Rhinolophus ferrumequinum: one gene and its partners. The protein of the gene in region 4 interacts with the protein of the main gene of each other region in a pairwise test. Links are inferred from orthologs where the notes say so. Each region holds a gene or a part of one and is shown on either strand. Other genes may lie near its edges.

Evidence for each region.
Region 1: the proteins of CREB3L1 (region 4) and SLC35B4 interact in binary tests that used the Homo sapiens proteins (3 or more experiments, as listed by UniProt). The two-hybrid records come from large-scale screens. The link is inferred for Rhinolophus ferrumequinum from reciprocal best matches to the Homo sapiens genes CREB3L1 and SLC35B4.
Region 2: the proteins of CREB3L1 (region 4) and FXYD6 interact in binary tests that used the Homo sapiens proteins (3 or more experiments, as listed by UniProt). The two-hybrid records come from large-scale screens. The link is inferred for Rhinolophus ferrumequinum from reciprocal best matches to the Homo sapiens genes CREB3L1 and FXYD6.
Region 3: the proteins of CREB3L1 (region 4) and TSPO interact in binary tests that used the Homo sapiens proteins (3 or more experiments, as listed by UniProt). The two-hybrid records come from large-scale screens. The link is inferred for Rhinolophus ferrumequinum from reciprocal best matches to the Homo sapiens genes CREB3L1 and TSPO.

The regions. Positions count from the first base shown.
Region 1 is NC_046309.1:13,181,739-13,189,484, forward strand, and holds the start of SLC35B4 (UDP-xylose and UDP-N-acetylglucosamine transporter), read left to right. Parts: upstream 1-4,745; 5' UTR 4,746-5,565; coding exon 5,566-5,642; intron 5,643-7,746. UniProt on the Homo sapiens protein: Antiporter that transports nucleotide sugars across the endoplasmic reticulum (ER) membrane in exchange for another nucleotide sugar.
Region 2 is NC_046294.1:87,201,290-87,208,990, forward strand, and holds the start of FXYD6 (FXYD domain-containing ion transport regulator 6), read right to left. Parts: upstream 3,011-7,701; 5' UTR 3,010-3,010; coding exon 2,991-3,009; intron 1,184-2,990; coding exon 1,121-1,183; intron 466-1,120; coding exon 427-465; intron 335-426; coding exon 260-334; intron 1-259. UniProt on the Homo sapiens protein: Associates with and regulates the activity of the sodium/potassium-transporting ATPase (NKA) which catalyzes the hydrolysis of ATP coupled with the exchange of Na(+) and K(+) ions across the plasma membrane.
Region 3 is NC_046293.1:5,301,379-5,308,654, reverse strand, and holds the start of TSPO (translocator protein), read left to right. Parts: upstream 1-4,260; 5' UTR 4,261-4,390; intron 4,391-7,276. UniProt on the Homo sapiens protein: Can bind protoporphyrin IX and may play a role in the transport of porphyrins and heme. Promotes the transport of cholesterol across mitochondrial membranes and may play a role in lipid metabolism, but its precise physiological role is controversial.
Region 4 is NC_046294.1:14,648,410-14,655,942, forward strand, and holds the start of CREB3L1 (cyclic AMP-responsive element-binding protein 3-like protein 1), read right to left. Parts: upstream 3,016-7,533; 5' UTR 2,566-3,015; coding exon 2,464-2,565; intron 1-2,463.

The DNA of each region.
Region 1 (7,746 bases), on a different chromosome or scaffold from region 4:
TTAAAAAAACAAAAAATAAAAAAACAAGTGTTCGTGAGGATATAGAGAAAAGGGAACCCTTGTGCATGGTTGGTAAAAATATAAAGTGGCTGCTGTGGAAAATAGTATGACGATTCCTCAAAAAATTAAACAGAATTACCTTGGGTTCTACCAATAGCAATTCTGGATATATACCCCAAAAGAATTGAAAGCAAGGTCTCAAAGAGATATTTGTACACCCCTATTCATAGCATATCATTTACAAGAGCCAAAGGGTGGAAGCAACCCAAGTGTCCATTGAAGGGTGAATAAATGGATAAACAAAATGTGGTATCTATGGCATATTATTCACCCTTAAAAAGGGAGGAAATTCTGACACATTCTACAACATGAATGAACCCTGAGAACACTGTGCTAAGTGAAAAAACCAGTCACAAAAAGACAGATACTGTACGATTTACTTATATGTGATATCTAGAATAGTCAAATTCGTAGAAGCAGAAACTAGAATGGTGGTTGACAGGGGCTGAGGCGAGGAGGAAAGGTGAGTGATTATTTAATCAGTACAGAGTTTCCATTTTGCAAAATGTAAAGGGTCCTGGGGATAGATGGTGGTGATGGTTGCACAACAATGTAAGTGTACTTAACACCACTGAACTATACGCTTCAACTGGTTGTGCTGGTAAATTTTATGTTAGATGTATGTCACCACAATTAAAAATAAACATTTTTAAATGTGATTTTGAATGCATCCAAATAGAGCTTACACTTTCCATTTCCCCAACAAAACTCAAATGTTTTGCAGCAAGTTTCATGCATTTCTCTTAAAAATCAGTTCCATACATTTCCTTTCCCTGCCTGGCCCCATATGCATTCAAATTTTTGACACTTAGGAAATACACTTAACCTTTTTGACCCTCAGATTTTCTCCGAGGAATAATAACTCCTATCTACCGCATATAATTGTTGGAGGGGTACACGAGCTACGTGTGGGAGCATTTACAAACTGAAACAGTTACCTCCCGCAACAGATCAAAGCGTGTTTCAGTATATGGGTTAGTAACATCTTCACATACACTTACTACCTGAGACAGGGAAAAGGTGACAGAACCAGTGTAAAAAATCTGAAATTAAATGATCCCATGGATTTGTTTTTCTCCTTAAAAATATTAAGTTATTGAGGGTGGGTTGAACTTCAGTAAATAACTTTGAGACATGTCACATTGATGTGGAAAACTTGGTTCTCTGACATCTTTTTTTTTTTTTCCTGAAAGGTGATATGACAGTGTCTTAGTTAGATTTGCCAGCTCAACTCAATCATACAATTTAACAAACATCAACTCAGCAGCAACGAAGGGGGAACCGTGAGGCACGTAGAGCAAGTAGAGGCGGTTCCTGTCATTAGGGAGCTCACCCACAGCCTCAGCACTAAAAATTGTTTCTTTAGGTGCTTGTTCTACTTAGTACCTTCTCCCACGGCAGGTACCATTTTCAACCCCTCTCCTATTTTGTGTACAAGAGTCCCTTGAAAAGGAGCTGGCTTTTCTAAAGGTCTTTCTTCCTCCTTCCCTACCCCTACCTCTTCAACCCGTGTCTGACCCTCTGTCCCTCCATTTCTTCCTTCCTACCTTCCAACCATTACGTACTGAGCATTCGCTATGAGCCAGATGCCATCTAGATATGGAAGATACTATGGCTAGGAAGATAAAATCCTTGACCTTGTATCATTATCACTCTGGATGAGAAAGTTTCCTTTCTAGCCAAAACTCTATGTGCCTTAACTCTAGTACTCTGAAAAAGAAAATGAATAATACCCTTGAAGAAGTTAGATTATATAAATCTATCAATACACTGGGGTGTTGCTTGAGTCTGACCTATGATATAAGCAACAAAAATATTTTTGCTTTATGTATAATACCTTAAATATATTCATAGGGTACCTTTCCTGTGCACAGCTCTAAGCATCTCGAAATTTATGTGATACAGAGAGGAGAAAATCATCTTCATGTGATAGATATGGAAAACAAGGTTTTAAAAAACCCAAGTGACAAATCTCTGTAGGATTGTCAACTTGAGGACACTTGTCGAGCAGGATCCCACAGGAGTCATCTTATTTAATTTTTCGTCAACAACTTGGTTAAGTGGATTTTATAAATGATTCAAAATATGTCTGAGTGTCTGGAACGAGAAGCAAAAAGGGTTTTTAAAACAACCTTGACAGCTTTTCCTGCTGACAACACTGGGGCATGTCAAAGAGGATGAACACTCCCAGAGCGATAGGTCCTTCCTCACCAGGGGAGAGGATCACGGGAAGGTTTAAACAGGGGGAGCCCAGCCAGCTGCTGTCTAAAAAGATGCTATTCATTCAAAGGTGCTAGAAGTTTGAACTCAGGAGAAGGAACAAGAAGAAAAAAGTCTGGGAGATGAAGCCAGGCCTGCACTTCATGACTTTGATTTTATGATGAAACAGTTAAAATGTTGAAGTAGAAATAACCCCTAAAAAAATGGGGTGTCCCAGTTGTCAATTTACAGCCTTTCAGCTCCAAAATCACCTTTCATGGTCGTTTGTGATGCTGGAGCAGGAGCCTGGGGACATTTCTCTTCTGCCAGGTGGCACGCTGCTGAGGTTAGTCACGGAGGATGCTGCATGAGCCTTAGAGGACCAGGTGGCTTCTCGTTCTGGTTCTGGTGTGTTTTCCTCTCTTCCTGTTCCTGCAGCACCTGGGAGGGACATCCTGTGGCTCACCTCAATGAGTTCAGCAGTACGTACAGGTGGTTAGTGGTTATTAGAAAGTTCTGCCGGAGCCCCAGGCATCTTCCTGAGAGTACAGTACCCCCACCAGCAGCTTCCTGGTGAATTGGCCAGTCAGCGTGTAGCTCATAGTGAGTTTTAGCAGCACTCAGTGAACTTCTCTGCGAGCCAGAGGGCTACAGCCAAACCTTCATCAATAAGGCCCGAATCTCAACTTGGGGGAAGAAGGCCCTCTCCCAAATTTGTTCCTTCCTTGGGTAGTCTGTCTCAGTCCTAGGCAGTAGCTACTCCTTGTATAATCTGCTCTTCCTATCATCTTGGGATTCAACCCCTCATAGAAACTCATCCTCTGTTAGTAGTTAATGGTTCTTTACGTTAAACTTTGCGTGTTCAAATCACTGGGTGGTTTTTGTTTTCTGACTGGACCTTGATTAATATGCTGCTATCCAACAGAAATATGCATTTATGTTCACCAAAAGCTATGTACTAGACATTTCATAGTAGGTGGCGCTGTTCATAATAGCTAAACTCTCCATCACCTGGAGAAGAGACAAATAAATCGTGGTATATTCCTACAAGGGAAGCTATACAGTGATGAGAATAAATTAACTATATAAATACATGCAACAACACAGAGGAACTGACAAACATAATGTTGAGTGAAAGAAGCAGAAACAAACAAATAAAATATTCTGATTCCATCTGTGTAAAGTCCCCAAACAGCAAAACTAACCTCTGGTGCTAGAAAGTAAGAAAAGCGGTTATTCCTGGAGGGGATTGGTGATAGAAAGGGGGTGCAGGGGGTTTCTGGGAGCTGGTAGTGCTGTTTCCTGGCTAGGGTACTGGTTCTATATACTGTTTATGCAAATTCATTGAGCAGCGCCTTTTTGATGTTTACATTTTTAAATTAGTCAAGCTGAAAAATATTACATATTTATTGAATTTATGAGGTGTGAAATATTTTCCTCAAACAATGAAGTCAAGCACATTTATTCAACAAAAACTGTATGTACATATTACATACCAGTCACTGTCTATGATGCTAAGGATCTAGAGATGAATTACTTATTCTTGGTTCCTGTCTACAAAGAGGCACAGTCTACTACTGGGGGGGAGTGACATGAAAACAGATCACTACGATGCAACAGGAGTCCTGGAATAGTTTAGGTAGGAATGGAGTGCTGGAGATACAGAGGAGGGAGCCACGAATGGGGCATTAGAAAGCTACACAGAAAGCTTTTGTGAGCAGAAAGGTCCTCTGCTCAGGCATCAGATTGGTGAAGATGTCAACCGAGCCCTTGGAAACTTTAAGACCCAAGCGAGACTGGGGCTGCACATATATGAATATGTAGGATCACAGTTAGATATAGTGATGGTTGAAGTTATGGAGATGAAATCACCAATACAGAGTGTTCAGGGCAATAAAAGGAGGGGACAAATGATGGAACTTTGGACGGGGATTCAGTGGGCAGAGGAGACTGAAAAAGGCAAGTCAGAGAAGCAGAAAGAGAAACAGGAGACTCATGTCTTATAATCAGAGGGACAAGAAAATGTTAGGAGAATGGAGCTTTCATTGTCAAAAGCCACTGCAAGATCAGGTCAGATGAGACTGTGGGTACAGTAAGTTCTCACTGTCATTGATGAGTTCTTGGAAACTGCGACTTTAAGTGAAATGGTGTGTAACGAAACCAATTTTGCCATAGGCGAATTGATACAAGCAAGAATTAAGTTCACAAAAGGATGTTATTGGAAGACCTGCTATATATGGTTTTGACAATTAAGAGGTCAGTAGGACTCTAACTGAGACTATTTTCAAAAATCTCGCTTTGATCAAAGTAAAAAGCAGGGACTGTGAATTTAGACTACTCTTTAAAGATACTTGGTGGTAAAGTGAAGGAGAAGAATAAATCAGTTTGAGCATGATTGTAGGCTAAGGGGAAAGGAGGAGGGGGAAAAAATGGATGACAGGAGCCAATGGGAGGGGTGGAGGAGAAGTGTCCAGGGTCAATTGTTTTATAGGCATCTGCTCCTCAAAACGTGGGCCATCAGCAGCACCTGGGAACTTGTTCGAAATGCAGAATCTCGGGGCAAACCGCAGGTGTAGTGAACCAGAATCCACATTTTAATTAGATCCCATTGTGATCATAGCGTTACTATTCCCATCTTTACCAATGATGAGACTGAGGCTCAAAGAAGTTGCTTGAGATAGCAGAACTGATTGGTAGCTGAGCAGAGATTCAATTCCAGAACTTCCGGAGTCCAATGTACTTTTCAAGCGGGAGAAAAGTTCAGTTCAGAGGAATTTCTACTTTCACTCAATTCGAGAGAATTGTTTGAGATGCTAGAACGCCTCCAACGATCAATCACAGGCCTGTAGCCCTAGTGCCGCCAGCTGCGAGTTTGTTCAGACACTGATGGACGAATCCCTCTCTGAAGCCTTGGCTTCGTCAGAAACAACATTGACAGCGTTAGAACTTCACTTCCCAGCAAGCCCCGCGGCTTCCATCGTGCGACACATGACGGGCACCCTGTCCCTCCTCTCTAGTGGAGCTGCTCAGCCGAAGAGGGACACGTCCCAGCCTGACGTAAGGGCGCGCGGCATCCTGGGATATGTAGTTTGACCCCGACTAGGACGCCCCCTCGGATGAATGGGGCCGAGGCCGACTGCGAACTACAGCTCCTCGGCCGGAGACCACGGCGGCCCCGGAGAAGAGCAGCGCCCTGGGACGGTGGCGATGTTCTTTGCGGTGGCCGAGGCAGCGGTCCTGCTTCCTGGGATAGCGATATAGGCGGCGTTTCCTCTGCACGCTCGCTCCCCGTCCCTTGCACTGGCCATGCGCCCGATCTTTGCGGTGGGCCTGGTTTTCGCAGGTTGCTGCAGTAACGTGATCTTCCTGGAGCTCCTGGCCAGGTGAGTGACTCCCGCAGGCCGCAGCCGTGTTCCCCGCACTGCACGGAGAAAGGCGGAGGACAGGCGTTAACGCGCGCCGCCCCCCGGGCCGAGCCCCGAGCCGCGGAGCGCCGAGGCCGGGAATGCACGGCCTGGGCTGGGTCCGCTCTGGGCGGGCTGCCTGGGACCCTGCTGAGCCCGCTACTTCTTCATCCTGCGCAGCGTTTCCTATCCCGCCCAATGGTTGCACAGCATCCCTCGGAGGGGGACACGGGGTGTTGCTGTCGTCACTCGTTTTTCACACACTGGGGGTATTGATCCGGGAGAATTTCTCACGTGATGGGTCCTAGGCCGGCAGGGATCTCTTGACAGAAGCCAAGGTTCCTCCAGCTCTTTTCTCTGTCCCATTCATAACGTCACAAAGCTTTTTGATTTATAAGTCAGTCTGATTTTGTACACGCGGCAAAGAAAGTTTCATGTGTATTCAAGCGGCCCGCAAAGCGTTTATTACTCTTAGATGGTTACGAGTACTTTGGCCAAACATGACTCCTAGTGATGTAATAGAACGGATTATTTATGCGAAAGGTCGATCTCATTGACCAGAGAGAGCATTGCCAGCTTTAAGATACTAGTCTTTAAACTGAAAAGCGTGTATTTTAAGGTGTGACTTTATAAATTAATAATTGGGGCGATGGAAGTAGGGCAAAACGGGTCAACGGGGTGAAGAATGGAAGCTAGACTTCAGGTGGTGAGCACGATATATTATGCACAGATGTTAAATTCTAATGTTGCACACCCGAAACTTATATAATGCTATAAACCAATAAACCAGTGTTATCTCAAAAAAAAAAAAAAAAAAAAAAAGGAAGGAGGAAGAATGGCTAGGAAAGTTTACCAAAGGGAGACCAGGTTAATTTCATTGAGATGGCAACCAAATAATGTTGAGTAATAAAGTGCAAAGTTCAGTGGGTAGAAACTGTTGCGGGAAAGACAACAGGTGGACTAAAAATCTCAAAATTATGAATTTCACTCTTGGCTCTGTCCCACCCCCACTGTGTGACGTTTTAAAGTCATTTAGCCTCTCTGGCCTCCTTTTTACTGCTGTAAAATCTATCTTTCTATGGTGCTGTCTATTGCCAAGGTTCTGAATCTACATTTTGTCTCCATGACCATCTTATGGACAAGATAGATCAAGAGTTATAATCTCTGTTTTGCTGAAAATGAAAGAGGTCCCAAGAAGTTAGATGATCTTTTACTACTTGCAAGTGGCAGAGACAGACATGTAAACTCCTAGTCCAATACCTTTTTCAGCCTCCCTGTTAATTTTGAACTTGAGTGGCCTCTAGGTTTTGGTCACCCCATTCCTCGTGGTGCCTACTAGAAATGTATTTTATTTTCATGATACCCTTCATTAAGTTGTTCTGAAGCAACCAGTTTATTTAGGGTAAACTCTGTGTGGGGTTAATTTTTGCAGTTACAGAGCTTGGAATTTTTTTTATGCGGAAAGTATTAATAAAGATCTGTCATTTGTTATTCTTGAGAGTAGGTGGTGAGGGGTATGAAAAGGAGAAAAGAAGTGTATCCTGCTGGTACATTTCAAAGGAAGGTTACTTTGACAATTGATTTTAAAAGATAAAAAAAAGGGATAAAAACAGGCCAGCCATGGAAGTGAAGGTCAGAGAGTAATAGTGTAATATTTGTGTTGAATATGCCATTACGTTCAATCTTGCCAGAGGTATATGACGTCAGTTACGCTAGCAACTGAAGGGACTCTTGAATAGTTATGAGCTCTTGGCTAAATTTCTTGATCTTCCCTAGTCTGTTTTCTTAACGGTGAAAGGGGAGGGCGATGGCTTTGCCAGCATTACATGATTTTGAAGGAATAAATGAGATTCATGTGCAAAGCCTGAAGCACACTCTAGTCGGCTTCCTCTCCTCTCTAACCATTTTGTTTCAATACAGGTATACGTGTTTTATGAATTTGTTCCTGGGAAGTGGTAGATATATCTAACTTTACAGAATGTTTTCCTGCATTGTGGGAACATCTATTTAGAACACTTTGAGTATTTTGTAAATAAATCATCACTCATTTATCTTTTTTGTAAATGTGGAGTTTTGCTCACAG
Region 2 (7,701 bases), about 73 Mb from region 4:
TACAGCACCAGAAGGGCCATGTGCGCCCCTTCTTCTTATCAGTGCTTATTTTCATTGAGCATTTATTTTGTTCATTCTTCACTGTTTTACTGAGCACCTATTATTTGCTCAGCAGTATGTTAGGTCCTGGAGATAACAGGGAGGAGACAGGCTCCTTCCTCCTCCAGGAAAGGGAATGGCCAGGCTCGTCTTACACTGTTCTCTACCTGCTCTGTAGTGCAGACATTGCTCTTCTGAACAAATGAACAAAAAAACTTACTCAGGATAAGGAGGATCCCGACAGAGAAGAGGACCACAGCAAACACCAATCCCCCGATCCTCAGGGTCTGGTAGTCTGCCAAAGGAATAGGGTGAGAAATGGGAAAAGAGGAAGGGCCAGGGAGAGAGTACCTGTCCCTCCCCACCCAGGACTGCCACACTACTCACCATAATGAAAAGGATCCTTTTCTTTCTCCTTCTCAGGTGCTACAAAAATAAACAAGCCTGGTCAAGAGGAGGACAGCTATACATCCTGGCTCCCAAATATCTCAACTTGCCTCACAGGCCTCCCTCCCCACAAAGGGATTCCTGGGAAGCAGGGCCGATTGAACAGAGGTGCCTACAGAAGTATGGAAGGGTGGCCCTGCCTGCGAGCTCAGGGCAGGTCCAGCTCAGAGCCCTAGTGAGAATCTGCATTCACAGCACAGCCACATTTATGGGCCATTTTTATTCATGTCGTCCCCAAAAGGAAGGGTCTATTTTCCTCTTGTTGCAGATGGGGAAATTGAGACTGAGGCAGGACATGTGACTTGCACAATGTCAGTCTAGAGACTGACGTGCAAGGTCTGGCTCCCAAAGTTCCAGCCAAAAGTCTACAGGGGGCTGTTGGATTTGAAGCTTAAAAGTAGACCCTGCTGGAGTCCGTGGGGAGAGGTGGGCAGGCTGAATGAGGGTCTGTGAATAGCCGTCACCTTCCAGGACTTCCTCTGCTGACTAAAGAAAGCAGGGGGGTGGGCGGGGCCCTGATCAGACATGTAGAATCTGAAAGCCCCCCAACCCTAGAGTCCCAGTGGGCCAGGACCTTCCACCAGAAGGGCCACAGCTGCCATCTTGTCAGAGCCAGGTCCTATGGCGTACTTACCACTGGCCAGGACAGCAGGGGCCAACAGGCTGCATAGAAAGATCAGCACTACCTCCATGGCGTCTGGGGACAGAGGGAGGACAAACAAGTCTCTGGATAGGAGAATCCCCACTCTGACCCTCAGCCTGACCAGGCAGAGCCCAGTCGGGTTCCCATCTCTATGCTGAGCGCTCTCCACACAGTGAGAGTTCGAACAACAAAGCAGAAGTAGCTGACATTTATCGGACTCTTACGGAATGCTCTGCTTGCATTAATTCAATTACTACAATTGACCCAATACAATGAGGAGGCACTGTGACTAACCCCTCTTACAGGTGAAGAACCTGAGCTTAAAGAGGTTAAATGACACTCACGATAGTGAGCAACAGAGCCTAGATCCTAACCCAGTTCAGTAAGTCCTCAGCCACCTGCCTCACTGGTGCCAAAGCCAAAAAGCCCCAATGGCTTTGGAGATGGTCTCATCTGTGACCTCCTCTTCAGGCCACCCTTCTGCGACCATCTCTAGTTCATTAAGATGTCTGAGACTTCCTGGCCTGGTTCCCCACAGCCAAGACCCACTGTTGGAAGTTCTTTCTTCTATCAGGTTTAATGGGTCAGGGAAACCAATGCCCCTCTAGTCCAGCCAGCCAGGAGGGGTGGGAGACCTGCTGTTTCCTGGGCTCTGTGTGGTAAACCCTGAAACGCTGACAGCTCTCCCTAAGTTACCTCTCACATTCTCACCTCTAATGTGTCCAAGCCAAATTTTCCCATAGGCTTTAGTTCATAATCTTCTAGAAAGGCAGTTTCATTGAACAAAGGGAGCATGGAGACCAGTTCTCTGAGTGTCAGTGCTCCAGCCTCTCCTTCCCCAGAAGATGCCTGAGACTTCTGCTTGTGAGCTTATCAAACCCCTGGTCTCTGGGGTCGGTCACCCGAGGATGGATCATTTGCATGAAGGCAGAAGGCAGGGCCACTTGGTCCCTCCCACGGGTAGATTTCAGTGGAGTTATATACACCTCATTCATGGACTTAAAGGAGTATGGTAAAGAGCCAGAGAGAAAAAGGGGGAAGAAACGCGAACTAGGAAAGCCAGAGGCTGTTTGCTCTTTTCTGAGTGGGTGAGACTGGCAGCAGCCTAACGTCTGGACATCCGTCTAGCGGCCAGGACCATAACTGTGCTGAGGGATCTCGCCCTGTCCCTTTCTCCTGAGGCAGCCCGCAGCCCCCAGCTGCCCTTCTCCTCTCAGCCACTAGAGGTCAGAACAGCTGCATCCAGTTATGCTAAGGCACAGTCCTGGGAGTCAGGTGATCCAACAAGTGTTATTCAAAAGGCACTACTTGGCTTTTATTTTATTTTATTTTTTAATTGGGGAATATTGGGAACAGTGTGTTTCTCCAGGGCCCATCAGCTCCAAGTCGTCATCCTTCAATCTAGTTGTGGAGGGTGCTGCTCAGCTCCATATCCAGTTGCCGTTTTTTTTCAATCTTTAGTTGCAGGGGGCACAGCCCACCATTTGAACCGGCAACCTTATTGTTGAAAGCTCACGCTCTAACCAACTGAGCCATCTGGCCGCCCCTCCGGAAGCTCAGCAACAGTTCATAGCCTTCAATCTAGTTGTGGAGGGTGGAGCTCACTGGCCCAGGCGGGAATCAAACCAGCAACCCTGTTGTTCAGAGCTCGCGCTCTAACCAACTGAGCCATCCGGCTACCCCAAACACTACTTTGCTTTTAATGCTAACTCCTTTAATAGTTGTAGTTTTTAAATTTTACGTTATATTTTATATGTGTGAAAATATATATAACACACATATAATAATGCATAGTAATAAGATAAACACCCATACGCAAGTAACTTAAGAACCAGAACTTTACAAATACAGCTGTACTTACCTATCTTCCTCCGATCCATCCACCCTGCTTCACTCCCAGAGGTAAATAGTTTCCTGAATATATATATATATATATATATATATATATATATATGTATATATATATATATATATATATACACTTTTAAAAAAGATTTTATTGGGGAAGGGGAACAGGGCTTTATTGGGGAACAGTGTGTACTTCTAGGACTTTTTTCCAAGTCAAGTTGTTATCCTTTCAATGTTAGGTGTGGAGGGTGCTGTTCAGCTTCAAGTTGTTGTCCTTTCAGTCTTAGTTGTGGAGGGCGCAGCTCAGCTCCAGGTCCAGTCGCAGCTGCCAGTTGCAGGGGGCGCAGCCCACCATCCCTTGAGGGACTTGAGGAGTCCAACCGGCAACCTTGTGGTTGAGAGCCCACTGGCCCATGTGGGAATCGAACCAGAGTTAGGAGCACGGAGCTCCAACTGCCCGAGTCGCCAGGTCGGCCCTGAACATATATATTTTTAATCGTTGCCTTACTCCTCTTCAAAAAAGGTTTTAAATTAGGAAATAATCACACATCATGAAATTCACCATTTGAAAGTGTACAATTCAATGGCTTTTAGTATATTCACAAAATTGTGCAACTATCAATTCCAGAACATTTTCATCATCCCAAAAAGAAACCCTGTAGCCAGTATCAGTCACTCCCATTCTCCCTTTCCCACAACTTCTGACAACCACTAACTTACTTTCTGTCTCTATTGATTTGCCTATTCTGGACATTTCATATAAAAAATACATCAATAAAATAAGTGGCCTATCGCATCTGATTTCTTTCACTTAGCATTATGTTTTCAAGCTTCATCCATGTTGTAGCATGTAGTACTTCATTTCTTTTTATGGCTGAGTAAGATTCCATTGTATGAATGTGCATCCTGCACTTTTCTAAAACATATCTAAATAAGATACTGTTTAGTGGAGATTTTTTGAGCTTTACAATTATGATACCATGTCTTTTACAGTCTTCTAGGACTGGCTTTTTTTGTTCAATATTATGTTTCTAAGATTCATTCATATTATTACCTGTAACCATAATTTATTCATTTTCAATGCTGTGTAATATTCTACTATGCCAGGAAATTATCATGCATTGGTCCCTTCTCCTATCAGTGGATATGACTTTTTTCAATTTTGTGCTATTGTAAATAATACAGCTGTGAACATTTTTGTGCATGTTGCCCAAAGCACATATGTAAGAGTTCCAAAGGCAATGTTTTTTCAAATCTTTTGACCACCACTTTCATTAAGAAACACTTTTTACATTGAAACCCAGTACAAATTTATATGTATGTATACCAGAAACAACAATATCACAAAAACAATACTTTATCTTAAAATAAATGATGCCTTCTGATATTTTCTATCCTACTGTGTCCTTTTTTAAAAAAAAGGCTAGATCCATTAACAGGTCACACGTGGCAGTTTGAAAAATTATGTTCTAGAGATAGGCCTCAGAGTGAAGTCGTTGGATTACATAGTATGAAAATTGTCCACTTTACAAAATAATTTCGAATTGTTTTCCAAAGTGGTCATCCCCATTTAAATAACCCACCAGCTGCATATGAATGTTCTTATCACTCTACATACTTAGCGATACCTGATATTGTCAGACTGCTTAATTTCTGCCAATCTAGAGGTATAAAATGTGGTCTTACTTTGATTTTAGTAATGGAGTTTGACTTCTTTCTGTTTATTCCTGTTTCTTCACTAGTGATGTTCCTTTCCTGTCTTTTGCTCATTTTTCAAATAGGTTGTCATTATTTATTTCTTATTCTGAATACTAAATCTTTGTCATGAAGTATTGCAAATATCTCATCCCAATTAGTAACTTATCTTTTCACTTTTTAAAATTGTCTTTCAATGAACAGAAGAATTTCTTAATTCTAATGTAATTAAATGCAATTATTTTTGTGTCACGCAGTCAGAAAGAATTTTCTTCTAAAAATTGTAGTTTTGTCTTTTACACTTAAATCTTTATTCCATCCAGAATCGATGTTTGTGTAAGGTGTGAGGTGGGTATCTAATTTTTACTTTTCTCCATACTGATAACCAGTTATCCTAGCACCACTTGTGGACCCTTCTCCTCCCCCCTTCCTCATGATGTGCAATGCCACCTGTGTCATATATCTGGTGTGGGTCTGTTTCTGGGCTTCTCTTTGGATCTCCTGGTCAATTTATACTTGCATCAAAATCACAGCGTTTCTGTTACTACAGCTTTATAGTAGTCTTTCCATGTGGTAGAGAAGCTTCCCTCTCCTGTTTCTCCTTCTACCTCTTCCTTCAGGAATGCCTTCATTATTCTTGATCTTTTGCTCTTATGTATACACTTTAGAATCAGCTTGTCAAATTCATCTAAAGCTGTTGGGATTTTCATTGGAATTACAATGAATCAATGAATCTATCTATAGAACAATTGGGAAAAACTGATATTTTTTTCTGACCTTGAGTCTCCTATCTGTCTTTTCACTTGTTTAGGTCCTTTTCAATGTCCTTTAATAAAGTTTTATAAGTGCTTTCATATAGGTCTTGCATATCTTCTATTATTTATTCCTGGGTCCCTCATAATTTTAATTGCTATTTTAAATGCTACGTCTTGTGTATGTTTTCAATTTCTTGCTGGTATAGAGAAAAGCAACTGATTTGTAAATTTGATATTAAATCCAATAATCTTGTTAAATTCTCTTATTATTTCTAATATTTTACCTTTAGATTCCTTTGTATGTTCCCTGTAGACATAACATTTGTAAACGATACAGTATTGTTTCTTCTTTTCCAGTTCTTACACTGCTTATTTCTATTTACCTTATTCTTAGTCACTGCTAGTTCTTCCAGTGAAATGTAGAATAAAAGCAGTGATCATGGACTCTCTCTCTCTCTCATATATTGTCTATTGATTTTATTTTATTCTGTGTTTTTTATTTTTTTCCAGCTTCATGAGATATGACATATAACATTGTGTAAGTTTAAGGTATACAATGTAATTTGATACATGCATGTATGCTGCAATGATCACCACAATAAGGTTAGTTAATACCTCCATCACCACACATAATTTCCTTTTGTGTATGTGTGATGAGAATGAATAAAGAAAATGTCATATATTATATATGTGTGTATACAAGTATACACATATATCACATTGTCTTTATTATTATATATACCGAAAAAATGTATACACATTTTAAGAAAGGAAAAAACTGTATTAAAATTGTAATACTTAATATATACTGATAACAAAAGATGAATACAAGTCATGTGTATGTGTTTTTTTGGCACCCCCAGTATATGAGATGTGATCAAATATGGTGAGTGTTTAAATAAAAAAAATTATTACAGTAAAAGACACATTGCCATTAATACTTCTCAAAATACTCCCCCTCACTTCGAACATACTTATCCCATCATTCTTGCCACTTTCTGAAGCAGTTCTGTAAGTCCTCTTTGGTGAGTGTCTTTAGTTGCACTCTTGTGGCTGCCTCGATGTCCTGAGTCATTTTGGGGAAGAGCCAGAAGTCACACAATGCCAGATACGGTGAATAAGGTGGATGAGGACACACCATAATGTTTTTATTTGACAGAAATTGCCGTATATCAGAAGCGATGTGTGACACAGAGTGTTATCATGATGGAGGATGATTTACGGCACACTTTAAAACACACCTTCTCTCAACCGTAGCTCACACCCACCTGACTTTACCGAACAAGTTGAAACTTGTCACACACTGTTAGTAAGGTTCAACACACCACTTCCAGTATTGAAGATCCTGGCCTTTCCTTTGGATAGCACTTGGTGGCAGCAATCACTATATTTTGTGATCATAATGGAAAGGCTCGCCGTCGCACATTGCTTCTGGTATGGCTTCTGGTAAGGTGTCCTCATCCACCTTACTCACCTGATCTGGCACCATGAGACTTCTGCCTCTTCCCAGAAGTCAAAATGACTATGAAAGGTAAGCGTTTTGAATCGATTCGGATATCGAGGCAGCCACAACAGCGGAACTAAAAACACTCACGAGAGAACTTCCAGAACTGCTTCAGAAAGTGGCAAGAAAGATGGGATAAGTGTGTTCGAAGTGAGGGGGGTTATTTTGAAGGGGACTAATGGCAATGTGTCTTTTATTAATAAACTTTTTTTTAATTTAAACATTCACCGTATTTTTTATCGCACCTCATACAATGGAATATTATTATTCAGCCAAAAAAATGAAATTACTGATTTAAGTCCTCCTCTGAGATGTTTCTGTTTTATATTATGAATGAGTATTCTATATCTATGGTTTTCCTCTTTTAATCTATCAATGAGTAAATTATATGTATGGATTATCTAATGTTAAATCATCCTTGCACTTCTGGGATACAGCCAATGTATTACCTTTTTAATAAGCTCATGGATTTAGTTTGCTGATATTTTGTTTAGGATTTTTGCATCCATGTGGATAAGTGAGATTGGACTGCGAGTTTTATTTTATTGTATTCATTTTGCCTGGTTTTGGTATCATGGTAGTACTGGCCTCACAGAACAAGGTATTTTCTTTCTTGCTGTTCTCTGGAACAGTTTGCAAAAGATTAGGTTAATTTGTTCATTGAATGTTTGGCAGAACCTGTAAAATCATCTGGGTTCAGTATTTTCTTGTGGGAGGATTTTAAATTGCCTATTCAATTAATTAATGGCTATGACACTTAAGATTTCTAT
Region 3 (7,276 bases), on a different chromosome or scaffold from region 4:
TGCCTGTCCAACTAGAGGAGATTAGTTAAATGAATTATGACAAATCTATACAGTGCTGTGGTCATAAAAGGTACGGAGGCGAGTTTCAGGTTAAGACATGAATGGAGCACACTGCCTCCAGAAGTCCTTTAATCCACAGTAAAGGGGTATTTTAAAGACATAAATCCACCAGGACAGGGAGAACAGGAAAGGGGGACCCAGCAACAGAACCTCTGGAAGCTGGAAAGCAGGTAGACCGGTATTACCTGCCTGGCAGACCCCAGACAGCCAGATCCCTCCCAGCATTGGGGAAAGCTGGGGACCAACCCTCATTCATACAACAGAATCCTCAAAAGCTTAGCAAGTGGCACATTAGCTGCTTCTAGATCTAAGGGTGCAAGAGAGCTGAAATAAAGAGAACTAGTTCAAGGTGCCTTTGAGGACCAGTTAGATCCTTAGACCTCCTCCCTTTCTCTAGCTTCTGGGTGATGCCCTTTCCCGGGTTTAGCTTTGGAAAGGGCTGAACAGACTAGGGACAGCGGTGAATGTGGGTATGCTGCCAAACATGCGGACACTGAATGCTGAATGCAGAGACTTCCTCCAGGGCTCTCCCCTACTGAGCTCCCAGAAAACTCGAGCCTGGCCCCTAGTCTTCAGGTAAGCGGCTAGAGGACCTTGTGGAATCTGACTAGTCCAAGAGGAAAATCCTAAAGATGTTGACAGTCCAGGAAGTTCCCAAATGGCCCATCAAGTTCAACTTACAGTGAAGCTACACCAACAATACCACCCACAGACTTATTTTCTTCCTTTCTTCTAATCATGACCAGCCAGCCAAAGATTCTCCAATAGCCTCCTACAAGCAGAAACAAATACACAAACAAACAAAACCGCATAGGATTCAGAGACTATAGAAAACTAACTCTGATAGTTGAAAAGAGAAGACACTGCAATCCATGAAAAAGGAACAGGAAGTTATATCCGTACGTATATACCATATATATATATATATATATATATATATATATATATATATATATATATGAAAAATAACCCCTGGAAATGAAAAAATAGGATAGCAGAATTGAAAAACCCAATAGAAGGCTAGGTAGAGAAAGTTGTGGAAACCTCACAGAAGGTAAAGCAAAAAGGCAAAACATGAGGAGGAGGAGAGAAAAGGAACATGAGAAGGAGAGAAAAGGAAATTAGAAAACCAGCCCAGGAGGTCCAGGATTCTGAGTAATAGGGTTTCCAGAAAGAGAAGTGAGAACATGGAGGAAAGGAAATCATAAAAAAAAATTTTAATTTTTGGAAAATGAAGGATATGAGTTTCCTGCATGGAAGGGCTCCTGCGTGCTGGCACGATGGATGAAATTAGACCCCCTTGAAGGAATATCAGTGTGAAATTTCAGGACTCTGGGGACAGACATCTTAAAATCTTCCAGGAAGAACAAAATAGGTTACATACAAAAAAGCTCAAAACACAGAATAGCTTCAGCCTGCTCATCAGCACGGTGGCAGCTGGAAGACCATGTCTTCGTGACGCCGAGGGACAAATGTCTGCAACTTTGAATTCCCACTCAGCCAAGCATCAATCAACCATGGGGGAGAATGTAAGATTTCAAAATGATACGTCCTGTGCAATCTTTCTCAAGAACTCCTGGAGGATGGGCTCACCACAAACACGGGAGGACCAAGAAAGGCGTAGAGGTGTCATCCAGGAAATGATTTAGCCAGCAGAAGCGTAAAGGGCATCCCCTGGGTAGTGTTGAAGAGGGAGCCAGGATGATGTGTGCACAGGCGTACAAGTAGCCAGCCCAGCTGGGAGCAGTGGATGTACCAGGGATGTACTGCGGGCTGTCATCCCCAAGATGCCGGCTGTCACTGTGCTGCCTGTGTAAGAACCGAATCCCTGGTGAGCCCGTCCAGATTCTTGTCCACACTTGGCCGGTCTTGATCGCAGGCTGAGGAGGTCCTGTTCTCCCCTCCATTGCCTGCTGCTGAGGACACTGGTTCCACCTCACAGAAGTGTCCCCCCACTCCTGAGATCTGAACACAGATGCAAGATGGTCTGAGCTCAGAAGCAAGAAGACAGAACAACTCACGCCTCGGACCATTTCCTGCCCAATGCCCCTGAAACAGCCCTGCCAGACATGTCTCCCCCTCAACCCTGCCCTCCTCCGACTGCCCCAGCAAGAGCTCTCCTTGTCAATGCTCAGCGAGGCTGAGGTCAGTGTGTACCCCGGAGGCTCAGTTCAGTTTTACCTGGTCTGGCCTTCAAGCCCACTCTCTCCAGCCAGTGCGCTGCCCTTTCACCTCTCTGAGCATGTGAAGTGGTGTCAATCTGGGGAGTGGGAGGGTGTTTTCCCTGTCTCCCCGCTGATGGACTGAGGCTAGGGGCTGGGTTTGCTTGAGTTGTATTCTCCAGGATTCAGACCAGAGCTGGGCCCCCACGTACGCAATATATATATGTTCCTCGAGGTTGGTACATGCCAAATGCCCGAGAGGCTCCCATACTTAGTGCCGTGGAGTTCAGAGGTCACTGTCCACTTACAGTGGGGGAGACACAGAGTTGGGGTTATGGAAGAGCTTCCTGGGATGACACTGGAGAGCAGTAAGACTTTGACACATGGAGATGCCCAGGATGGGAGTGAAGGGTGCTCTAGGAAGGGGGAACAGTGTGTGAAAAGGCACAGAGGTGGAGAAAGGGTGGGGTAGTCGGCTTGACCCCAGCTTGGCAGGGCCTCAAGTGCCAGGTACAAGGCTTGGACTGGATCCTAAGGCAGTGGAAGCAATGGACGGTCCTGAGCAGAGCAAAGGCATGGAAGGGACAAGTGGGGAGCTGGGGGCCAGCAGAAGGTCAATCACTGCTGCCCAGGCTCAGGTGGGGGAGATGGTTGGAGAGGAGGGAGGCGGAAGTCATGGGAGGTGTGCAGGTAGAGAGGGATGGGCACCCTCATCTGCACCCAGACCTGTGGGTTGAGTCCCTAGGGTACCAACTCCCCCTCTGAGCAGCAGGGTCTCCGGCAGCGTCTTGCCTGTGAATGGTGTGAACTTCAGGAGGGCAGAGCCTTGTGTGTTTGTATTCAGCCCCTCCCTTTGGCCCTGGCATATAGCAAGTATTTGGGGACAGCAATTTCTGCCTCCCAGGGTGCCCCCGGGGCCTGGAGTCCTGTGCAGTAGGGATGAGGCCGGATGGAAGCTGAGTTGCTTCTTTCCCACGTGTCTTCCGGGGGAGTCAAGTGTACCACTCAGCCAAAGCCACCGGCACCTCCCTACAGGAAGAAGATGAGGGCTGGCAGCTCTGGGGAGGCGTGGCCAGACTGCTTGCATTAGGAACAGAGGCGCAGTACCTGGGGCCACCATATTTTGAGGGACCTGGGAAAATGTTTTAATTTCTTTTAAAATCAGAAGAAAAAGATGGCTAGAAACCAGCCTGGATTATACTTGTCCTTATACCAATGCGGTTAAATGTAGACGGGGCCCATGGAGGCAAAAATGCCAGGGCCTAGGGACAGGGGACAGCCCTGGAGGCTCCAGACCACTGTGCCTGGGGAAAAGTAGTTGCAGTTCACGTTGGCCCCCAGAGGACAGTTTGGGCGATTATGGCTCCTGTAGGTTAAGGGTCCTGCCAGATCAAGTCCTCCGAAGACGGCCGGGACAGGCCCTGGGCTGCAGTAATAAAGCAGCAAATAGATAAGGAGGGGGAGGAGCTTATGGCCTGCGGCTGGACACGCGGGTCCCATGAGGCACCTCTGGCTGTGATCATTGCAGCCTCCACTCACTGAGCGCCATGCTCTGCCTGTATTACCGTGGAGCATCCTAATTAGTCCCACGATGATGTGCCCATTTTATAGATGAGGAGATGGAGACGGAAGAACCAGCCACAGAGTGGCAGAACCAGGGCAAAGAGTGCAGTGCTGCCTCGGTGCCGTGGGGCAACAGCTAAAGGAACTAGGGTGCTCTTCTGGAGATGGGGGCGGGGCAGGCTGTTGTGTCTGATGATGTTCAGGGCTTTGCCATCATGTAATTCCTCTCTCTGAGCGCGCTCTCTGTTGACCCATTTTACAGATGGGAAAAGTGAAGCTCGAGAAGCAACCTGCCTGCGGACACAGCTGGAACGCGGCGCGGGTCTGCCCTGAGCGCGAAGGTCACGGTGGGGATTAGTGGCGGAGGGAGAGAGGGGCTCGCGCGGGGAAGGCAGAAGCGTGTCTCGCTGGAGGCGTGAAGGAGCGAAGTGAACTCCCAGTCCCGCGGGCAAGCGCGGCCCGGGCTTCCAGCCAAGCGGGCGGGGCCGTGGCCTGGGCGGCGGCCGGGCGGGGCTTTGCTGCCGGGGCGGGGCGGGGTGGGCCTGGGACTTCGGCTGCCACCTCCCGCCGCGCAGAGCCCTTCCCGGAGTGAGTCCTCTTTGCTGGTGAGTGGGGACGGGGCACCAAGGAGGCAGCGAACAAGGGCCTCCGCCCGGGTAGAACCGCCAACAGTGCCTGCCCGCTGGCGCAGGGCCCGAGGGGAAACTGAGGCCGGAGGTGGCAGGCCGGAGCCGCGGGGCGGGGACCCGAAGGGCGGCCGCGAGGCTGCACTAGGCTGCCGGGTCAGCCGAAGGGGGCGGCGGGCGGCCCGGGTCCAGACCTCCCAGGTCCGGGTCCCTGCGCGGCCGGATTCCCGCCGCAGGGAGAGACCGCAGGCGGAGGCGGAGGCGGGGGTGGGGGGTAGGGGTGGGAGTGGGAGGGCGGGGACTTGGGCAGCCCCGCTCCGCCCCGCCCCACCTCCGCCCTGTCCCTCCTGGCTCCGCTGCTGGGCCCGGCGGGAAGCCGCGCCGCCCGGGCGGGGGTGGGGCCGACACCCCCCTCTCCTGCCCATTCCTGCTTAGAGGCGAGCCGAGGCAGGGGAGGGCGGGAGTGGCCGAGCTGGGATCCTAAAATGCCCGGGAGACCTCGGTCTCCTGATCCACTTGAAACACCTCATTTCTAGGGGAGGAAACTCAGGCCAGATTGGGGAGGTTATTTGCCCAAAGTCAGGTCCGGCCCTCACGGGCTTTAGAGCCGCGTCCCTGCTTCCCGGGCCAGTCAGTGCTCAGGTGAGCTGTAGCCTGGACAGGAGCCTGGTGTGGGACCTGTCTGTCCCCTGCCTCTCCTGCAAAGGATCCGAGATCCCAGGTGGAAGGGGCTTCCAGTGTACACACTGCTGAGTGCTGGGGTCAGCCTGGCAGATGCCCGGGGCCTGTTATTGGCTGGGAGCCTCTCTGGCTGGCCTGCCAAGGTATGGTGGTACCTGGTACCAGCTGCTCTAGGATGACAGCAGGAGGAGCAGAACTTGAGCTCAGAGATAAGGGACTGAGGCTGTTCGTTGGGTCTTGGGTAAGGAGAGGATGTCGGAGAAGGCAGTGTGCAGGAAGCACCTGCCCTGGGCTCCTGGCACGCTGGGCGAAGGGCCGGGTGTCTCTGTGGGGTGGAGTGTGGCCCCCGCAGGGCAGCAGGAGGCAGGCCGCAGCTCCCTGGGGGCAACGGCACTTGTCACTGGCCATGAAAGGCACTGAGGAGGGTGGAGGGTAGCAGGCCTCTTCCTCAGTCCCCCGAAGGCTCCCAGAGGAAACCTCATAGGTAGTCCGGGGCCCCCAGGGGAGCCCTTTGAACTGGGGGAAACGGCCTCATCCAGGAACCATTGTCCAGGGTTTGAATGAGTGGGGTCTGATCCCAAAGCCTCACAGTGGGCGGCTGCGGGGGCAGGGCCTGGGCTGACAGGGAGGGAGCCACTTTTTACTATGTACATTTTTGCTTTTTCATTATTTTATTTTTGAATCTAAATTTCTTTTATTTGCCTTTTATTTTACTTACTTTTGATTGTGCAAGCAATGCCTGGATGTGCTCTCCCTTTAAAAAGGTCATGCTTGATAAAGCAGATTCCGCCTTGTCACCCCAGCCCCACCCCAGCCCGACCTCCCGGGTGACCCACTGGATGTGGATCCTTCCAGACCTGTTGTCTGTTACATTGGACACTTGCATAGTAAAGAAGTTTCACAAAGGTTATGATGAAGAATTGCTGTGAGTCGGTAAAGAAAACAAACAGGCTTCCAGAGATAAGGCCTGAAGGACTGGGTACAGCTGGGACGGGAGGGAGCAGAGAAGGGCAAAACCCTTTGTGCTGTTTCTGGGCAGCAATTTTGTCACCTTCTATATGGAGGGTCACCCGTAGGGAGGCCTCAGAGAACTGAAGGATCCCCCAGAGACCCATGGCTCAGCCCCACTTGAACAGATGGGGACACAGAGGCAGGGAGGTGAGGCCCTAAGGCCAGGAGTGAAGCAGCATCACTAGGTTGGGAGGTCCTACCCCCCTGCCCCCTCTTCCTTTCCCCCCCCCCCACAGGGAGGGCTCAGATCCTTTAACTGCACTGCTGCCCTGTAGGGGCTGGAACATTGGTCCTGGGGCTTGAAAGAGTGAGGCTGTGGGCCCTGAGAGAACCTTCTGGCACTGGACAGAGGGTGGAAAGGCCAGGGCGGGGTGGGAGCAGCCTGTGGCCCAAGCCCGCCCTCCGCCCTGCAAACTTCTGGGGCAGGCTCTAAGTGCCATGTTGGGATGAGAAGTTGGCTGAGAGAGGGGAGGTGACACAGCCCTGGTGAGTGGCTATGTGGCCCAGATCTGAGGCCGGCAGACCCCCTCCTCAGAGGGCAGGGGTGGTCTTGTGGGCTTCAGAGCTACACAGACCTGGAAAGTTCTGTGACTCCCAGTGCTTCAGTTTCCTCATCTGGACAGTGGGAATAGTACCAAGTCTACTGGGGCGGCCAAGAGGCCACGCGACTCAGCGCCCGGAGAGAGAAGCAGCTGATCCCCTCCCCTGCGGCCGCTGTGAAGAATAAGTGAAGTAAGGACCATTAGGCTGCCAAGCCTGGCCTGCAGCAGGCCCTGCACTCAGCACCCCCTGGCTCATTCCCTGGATCCCTAGAACCTTCTCCTGACCCCAGGCCCTGAGCCCTCTACTTTGCTCTGTGAGTGGCCCCCGGTCTTGAGGGCAGGGCCTTCTGCGAACATCTTCACCCATTCAGTGCCCGGTTGACCTTTGACATTTCCTCAGCTTGGGATCTGTGCCACTGGGCCGCTTCTTTCCCTGGAGGAAATGGGGTGAGTGGCCCCCACAACTCACACCCAGAGCCTCTTGCTCATCTGGTCCTCACTGGAGCCTCCTCATGGCCCCATGAAGCAGGCAGGGCAGGTTATAACCACCTGATGGGGAAACTGAGGCCCCAAGAGGAGCGTTGGCCTGGGGTCACCAAGCAAATTGGAGGCAAGCCAAAGTTTGGGTTCT
Region 4 (7,533 bases):
TCTTAGTAGTATTCAGGGTGAGCATACATTTTGATGCTTGCTTTTTGCATAGAGCCATAGAGCACATACTTTCCACACGACTTTATTGCCTTTATCTGGATTTTTAAGGATAGTGAATACCCTGCTCTCCATCTTCCATACTGAGAAGCACACAGACTCCATCCCTTCCCATCTTTAACCCTGGAAACGTTTTACTATCCTCATACAGAATGAAGAGGGAGTTGAAGGTGGAGTTGGCATCGGGTCCCAGCTGGAAGGGACCTTAGACATATAAATGGAGGCACCAGAGAAGGAAAGTGATTGGCTCAAAGTCACACAGCAACTCCTACCTGAGTAGTCCTTACCGCCACCCTATCTAGTGTCTGGAGCGAGTTAACTATGGACACTTACCTGCCAGGCATTGTCCTACATTAATCTTTCATTAATTTTGTCACTAAATCTCTACCATAACACTGTGGGAAAAGTTCTATAGCTCCATTTTTCAGATGAGGAAACCGAGACCCAGAGGAAGAAAAGTCACTTATCTGAACTGCCCAGCTGGCTGGTGGCAGAAGCGCAGCTAGAACCAGATTTCCTGATTCCCAGCCCAGGAGTTCATTCGCTCTCCTCTTAGGAATCCTTTCCTCTAGCCTGCCTCACCGGAGCAGGCCTAGGCCCCAGGTTAAGAGCTTCCCCAGCAGGGCTTTCCCTCCCAGTCCGGGTGCTGGATACCACTGTCTGATCATGCCTCCTTTCCTGTGCTGGACCACCGCCCAGATGAGCAGCTGGGGACTCGAGACTGAATGGAGCAGCAGGAAGAGGCTGTAGGCTGCAGAGTTCATTCAGAAGAAAGGCCAACTCAGAGCTGCTGAGGGCTGAGGAAACCTCACAGCGAGGCTTTACTACCCTCCTTGGCTGCAAGGGTACAAGCTCCAATAACCTCCTCCCTCTGATGAGTATCTATTATCAACTCCAAGAAGGTTGTGTGGAACCCCAGATCCCTGCTACTTTATTCCTAGGATCTGTGCCAGATCATTCTTAGAAAGACTTGATCCAATCTTTGCCCATTTTATAGACAAAGAAACTGAGGCCCAGGGAGGAGAGCTGGGTGGCGTGCCCCAGGCTCACAAAGGGAGGCAGAAGCAGAAGCAGGACTAGAACTCAGCTCTCCCCACAACCAGTTTAAGCCGTCTCTCCTCCTCCACTTGGCCTGTCTGCCGAAGAGTGCTCTCTCTGACTGGGAACAGGAGCCTTCTTCAGAGAGCAGGGTGACCCAGCCTAATGAAGGACAGGGAGACCTCACACCCATGCCTCCCAGACTGAGGTTCCTGCCCCTTGGCTGCTTTCTCCACCATCAACCAGTCTAGCAGGGGGAACAATTAGGTGGAAGTCCAAGATGCCCAATTTAAGTGTCTATGCACTTAACTCTTGTCTGGCCAAGTTTATCTTAGGCCAGTAAGTAGAGGCCAGCAGGTAGAGACCCCTGAGATGATCTGTGGATGTGCATGTGTGAGCATGTGTGTACATGTGAGACTGCTGGTTCACTGCATGGGTGGATCCCACCAGATTCCCTAAGCTGCCCACCTTTCAACTGGGAAGGCTTTTCTGAACCCAAATATTTTTCCCCAGTTACTGAGCCCATGCCCCTCCCCCAGCAGGGCCTTCAGGCTGAGGCTGAGAGAGGGAGGGAGGGAGGGAAGAAGAGAGAGAAGCCACGTTTCCTTAGGGAGGGAGGGGAAGAGAGAAAGAGAAGAAAGACAAGCCCAGAGACAGAGATAGTCACGGAGAGACAGAGAAAGTCAAGGAGACATGAGCGACAGAGAAACAGACCTAGAGACACATAGATGGGGAGAAAGACCTCTCTCCTCCTGAGGGATTGCCCAGTGCTGCTCTGACCAGCTGGGCGTCAGGTCCCTGCCTGGGGAGGTCTTGCTCCTGACTTTGGGGCAGCCTCGCCAGCACCCCTAAGTTTCCAGGTCTGCCTCAGAACCTGAGTCTGGCTCTGGCCCCCACATGGGGCGTCGGGTGTCTGGCCCTCTGAACACTCCGCTGTGCGCCTCCCAGCGGAGAACCAGCTGCGGGCCCACTTTGCGCCGAATCTGGTCTTGGAACCCCGGGAGGGGGCAGGATTGGTGTCTCTTGAGCTCATATCAGAGGATCGGATGGCCCCCGACGCCTCGAGGTCCCCTTCCCCGAGAAGGCGGAGGCCAATGCATCCACGGACGGACCCCCCCCCCCCCGGGGGGGCGCGCGCTGGCGCAAGCACAGAGGCTCCGGTCCAGGCTCTGGGACTAGGGAGGTGTCGAGGGATCTTAGTCATCAAATCTCAGAGCTCTAAGCACGTGTCCCTTCGGGGGACCCTGCACCGAACCCCCTCCTCCGCTTCTGCCCAGTGATGTATAGCTCCGTCCTTCAGGGGGGCCCAGGCAAGCTGCGAAGACCGGTGCCGAGGGGTGAAAGGGGGACGCAGACCCTTCATCTTACCGCATTGTTGAGGAAATCCGACTCGTTCAGATCCCCCAAGTCCAGGAAGCTGGATCCGGGGAACAGCCTGTCGGCGGGGAAGGGCTCCAAGACCGCGTCCATCGCGGCCGGCTCCGGAGACCCTCTTCGGCTGGGCTTCCCTTACTCCAGGGCGGCGGCGCGCCTGGCCCAGAGCTCCTGCTTGAGCTCTGGCAAGCGGGCGGGGGCAGGTCCGGGGCGAAGCCCCGAGGGAGGGGCGGGCGGAGGCGGCACAACCCCGGGTAGGGGGCGCCGGGGGCGTGAGGGCCTTAGGGCAGCGGCGCGGAGCGGGCTGGGCTCAGGGGCCCCGGGCGCACCGCGGGCATGTAGCCGATTCCTCCTCCTCCTGCTCTTCCGGGGGCACAGCTGGCTTCCATGGGGAGCCCGGGAGTGGGGCTGAGGGCTTGAGGAGCCCCCGGGACAGGGTGGGAGCCAGGGACGGGGGAGCTGAGAGCTCCCCCGAGACTGGGTGGCTACCAGGCGCTCCGCTCTCTCAGCGTCCCCTCTGCTCGGCTTCTGTCACTTTCCTCTGTGAAACCGGGAACCCCGGGCTGGTTAGCCCAGCTGGCCGAGGCGCCACGCCCCCACATCAATATTCACGATAATCTCATATTAATGAGAAGAGGGAGTGGCCTGAGAAATCGTCCCTCCTCTTTTAAAGAGGCCTCTTTTAAAGAGACAAGCTAGTCTTTGCCAATCTCTTTACTGACCGCTCAGTATAGGGGGTTAAAGCAAAACCGTCCCGGAGCGAATAACTGTTCCTGGAACCTCCGCATTTTGGTAAGGCTTTGCCAACCACTCTCCTGTAACTTCACGAGGGAACTGAGTTATTTCCATTTTTTCCTGCCTTATGCTAGAACCTGAACCAAATCCAAAGCCATGGAATTCTATCTCACAGGCCCCTCCAAAAAATCTCCTCAATGGGGAGATTTTCACACGTCTCCTCCACCAGGAAGCCTTCTTTGATCCCAAGGTTGAAGCAGTTACCACCACTGTATACTCACAGGACATTGTGTGCTTATATCATTTGGGGTGAATTTACTGTCTTTGTTTGCTCAATTGTCTATGACCCTAACTGGACTCAGGGCAAGGACTGTATCCACCTTTCCTGTGTGTGAAAGGGCCAAGTGAGCAGCAAAGATGAGGCTAGGACCCCTCTCCTCATCAATCATCAAGTCCCCCTAATCGTTCTGAAGAGCAAGAAGTTGGCGAACAGTGGCCATGGAGTTTGCCTGAGCCAAGATGCTGGTTGGTTGCATGCTCTGTGGTCATGGGACACTCCCAGACCCCCAGGATCCATTACCTAAGTGGCCCGTTCCATAGTACGTCTTAATCTCTTAAAAGGGCTGATAAACAATCACCAGGCACCTGAACAAATGGAGGTGGTTCAGAAAGACACTCCCTCAGAGGGCTGGGCACACTGTTTCCTGGTCAGAAGTCATTAACAGGATTAAGTGTGTCCTTGCTGCCTGGGGCTTTTAATTAGCTCAGGAACCAAAAGGCCTTTAAGAAGCAGAGATGTCATTGCAGTTAAGCTAGGGATGTCACTGAAATGGCTCTCGCAGTGCCAGGGTGGGAAAAGGGGACACATTGAGGCTAAGGGAGCAGCTGTTTGCTTGCCTGGGGCGGGTGGGCAGGCAGGCTTTTCTGCCCGCTTTTCTGCCATCTCATGACACGGTTGACATAGTTCTGGAGAATGAAGTTCTGACCCTCCAGGCTGTCACATAACTGTTAGCTTCCATGCCTCCTGGAGGGTTTGCTCCTGAGAAGCTGGCAATAGAGTCCATGCTCTGGGGACCAGTGCACCAGCAATACAACTCTGAAAAGTTAGGCTGGACCCAAAAGAAATCAATTCACTCTCAAAACAGTGGCAGGTAGAATTAGGATACTGAGACCATAGATGCTTCTCCCAAAAGTGTCACATCTGGTCAACCGGGGAACATTCAAACACTGGGAATGAGAATGATCCTTTTCAGGGTGGGGGAGTGGTCTTGGCTGAGTGAACAAGCCAGTCTGTGGTGGGTGAGCTTGTGCTAGCAGGTGTCTGGAGTCCTGGCTCCTGAGCTGGAGTCCCTGCAGGCCCCCAGGAGGAACAAAAGTGCCCGTCTGCCTGAGGTTGGCTAGAAATTGTGCCCATGTTCCTCCCAGCTTGCTCTGTAATTAGGGACACAGGCACCATTTAAGTGATTGGAGAAGATTATACAGTTTTAGATAAATAGGATTAGCGTGTCCTCTCTTTCCTGATTCTTACCCAGGTGAACACCCCAGGAAACTGTTGAAAATAATCCTGGGGAGACATTCTGGTTCCAGTACCTCCTGTGCAGTCTGAGACACAGGATCTTCCAAGAAAAGTCCTGAGGGTGAAGGGGTGGGAAGAGGAAGGAAAAAGAAATGGGCACTGCAGAACCTGGGACATAGTAGGAGCATGTTTCTCTGCGATGGCAAAGTCCTGCAAAGATGAGAATGGCAGAGGATTTATTCACATATTCTACAAGTGTTATTGAGCACCTATGAACACTGGAGACACAGTGATGATTAAGAAGTTATGTTTAGGGTGAATGAGGAGAGCCTGGGGGATAAAATGAAGAAGATGATTTCAGATAGTGATAAAGACGATGAAGGAAATAGAATGGTGAGAGATGGCTATGTGGATAAGGAAGGCCTCCCTGAAGATGGACCTGTGAGCTGAGAGCTGAATTATGAACTGGAACCATTGTGGGGTAAAATGGAAAGAAAAGCATTCCAGGCAGAGGGAACAGCAAGTAGAAGAGAAAGAAAGAAAGCCTGGGAGGGGCACGGGAGGAAGATGATGAATGTAAACCCCCAATGTCCTGCATAAACCCCCTACTTATGGTTATATTGAGGCTCAAGGCTTTGTTCTATTTAAGTACTGAAAAGAAGTGCATCAGTTCAAAGGCCTGCCTGAAGCCTTCTGTAGCAGCACATCCCTTCTGTATAGTCTCTTAAAGGTTTTTCAGGACAGGCAATTAGACAGCTGAAATTAGGTCTGAAATCACGGTTCTGACTCAACAGGGAGGGTCTGCTTTCTCCCTCAAGTCCTGGGCATGGTCCACAAGCCAGCCCCTCTCAGGCCCCTTCTCTGCCTCTGAAGGGTTGGGGAAGGAGGCCAAGACTGGTTCTGTAAACACCCCCAAACACTCCAGGTCAAGAAAAGCATAGACCGAGGCCCCTCCTGTTATGGGCTCGAGAACATCTGGTGGTTGCTCTCCAGCAGCTGCTCCAGCTGTGAAGCAAAATGCATAGACATCCCAACCCAGGCAGTGAAGCACAGGAGAGAAAGGATGGAGATAAGCTTCCTGCCTGTCCCAGACACTGAAGGGCAGGTAGAGAGAGAGGCTCCTGCCAGGCGGAGCTGTAAGAAGGGATGGCGTATGAGAGAGTATGTGTGCATGCATGTTCGTGCATGCGTGCATGTGTGAGTGTGTGTGTGTGTGTGTGTGTGTGGGTGGGTGGGTGTGTGTGTATGTGAGAGAGAGAGAGAATGGGGGGCTTGGCTGGGGACTGTCACACTTTGACACCCCTGGATAGTCTCTGCTCTTCTCTGGGTCTCAGTTTTCCCATCTATAAAATGGGAGAGGTTTTAATGACCCCTAGGATCCTGTTCTCTCCAAGTACCTTCCAGATGTTCCCTTACCAGGATACGGCCTGCAGGGAGTGGGGGATGGGGTCAGGACCTGCCTCCTCAGGAGGACTGGCACTCCCATTTTCTAGGCTCCCACCTGGAGCCTCCAGGAGGGAGCAAGGGTGGGTGTTTACACTCAGCAGGCCAGCCCCGGTGGTGGTAGTGAGAAGGTCACCCAAAGTAAACCTGCTTTGTTTGCCTGGCTTGTAAAGGGAAAAAGGCTTTGGTGCACTCTAACAGGAACTTCTGAGAAATGAAAACATATTCATCCTGGAGATTAGGCTGACTTCCGGGGCACAGATGGGAACTTTGTTCTTTTGTGGCTCCCCTAAAATGGGCTGCATGGCTGCTCTCCCTGTGCCCTAGGCTGGGGCTAGATACAGAGTCCCTGGGGTGACACCCTTTCAGGAGGGTGGGGGTGGGCTTCAGACCCCAGCTCTCACTCTTCTCCATCCCCTTGGTATGTGGTTCCTTCCCAGCTCCACCCTGAACCATAAAAATATCTGACCTTTATCGAGTACTTGCTTTGTGCTGGGCACGAAATACTTTATTTACATTATCTCCTTTAATTCTTAGAACAAGCTTGTAAGATAAGTAAGATAGTCACTGATTCTGAGATGCATATTTTAAAATCTCTGAAGTCAGAATATGTCTTATAATCAATGGTATGTTGTAGTTGAATGGACAGTGTTCTTTCCTTCTTAATGTACAAAAAATAATGGTGCATAATACAACTGATGACATTGTAGATTCAATGAAACACGATATTATTATTATTAGCCCCAACCTGCAGGTGAGAAAAGCAAGACTCAGAGAGTTTATATTCCTTTATTTCACGGGAAACCAAGGCCTGGGGCTACAAGAGGCTTGCCTTTGATTGCTTAGCTTCGATGGGACAAAGACAACACTGAAATCTGGGCCTCCGGGCTCCTCACCCAGGGCCTTTTCCACTCACCCCAGATGAACTGGGTTTGCTCACTAGGCAGAGGCAGTAGCAGAGGGGAGGGACCTTCCAGGACCTTCCTCAGCAGCTAGTGAATCACCAGCCACCTTGCCTTGGAGAAGGGCCTTAAAAATAGATATTTTCCCCTTTCCAAATTCTCTGAAGACTGAAGTTCCTTAAGGACTAGGAAAACACTTGCCTCCCTTCCAGCTCCTTTTCCTGGTAATTATTTTAGCTTCTCTTTCCCTGAATTTTTGCTCTACTGTCCCATCTTCAGACTGGAGGCAGGCCCACACCTTGGCCCTCTGTCTGCCTGCTGCCCGAGGAACAGCTCCACCCTCTTCCTGCTTTGCTCTCAGTCTTGCTCTGTATTCACCCTTCTCTCTACCTTACACCACCTGCACCAACACTGCTTCTAAAGACTCTATAACCCAGACCATGGGCTCCCACCCTGAAGACATACACT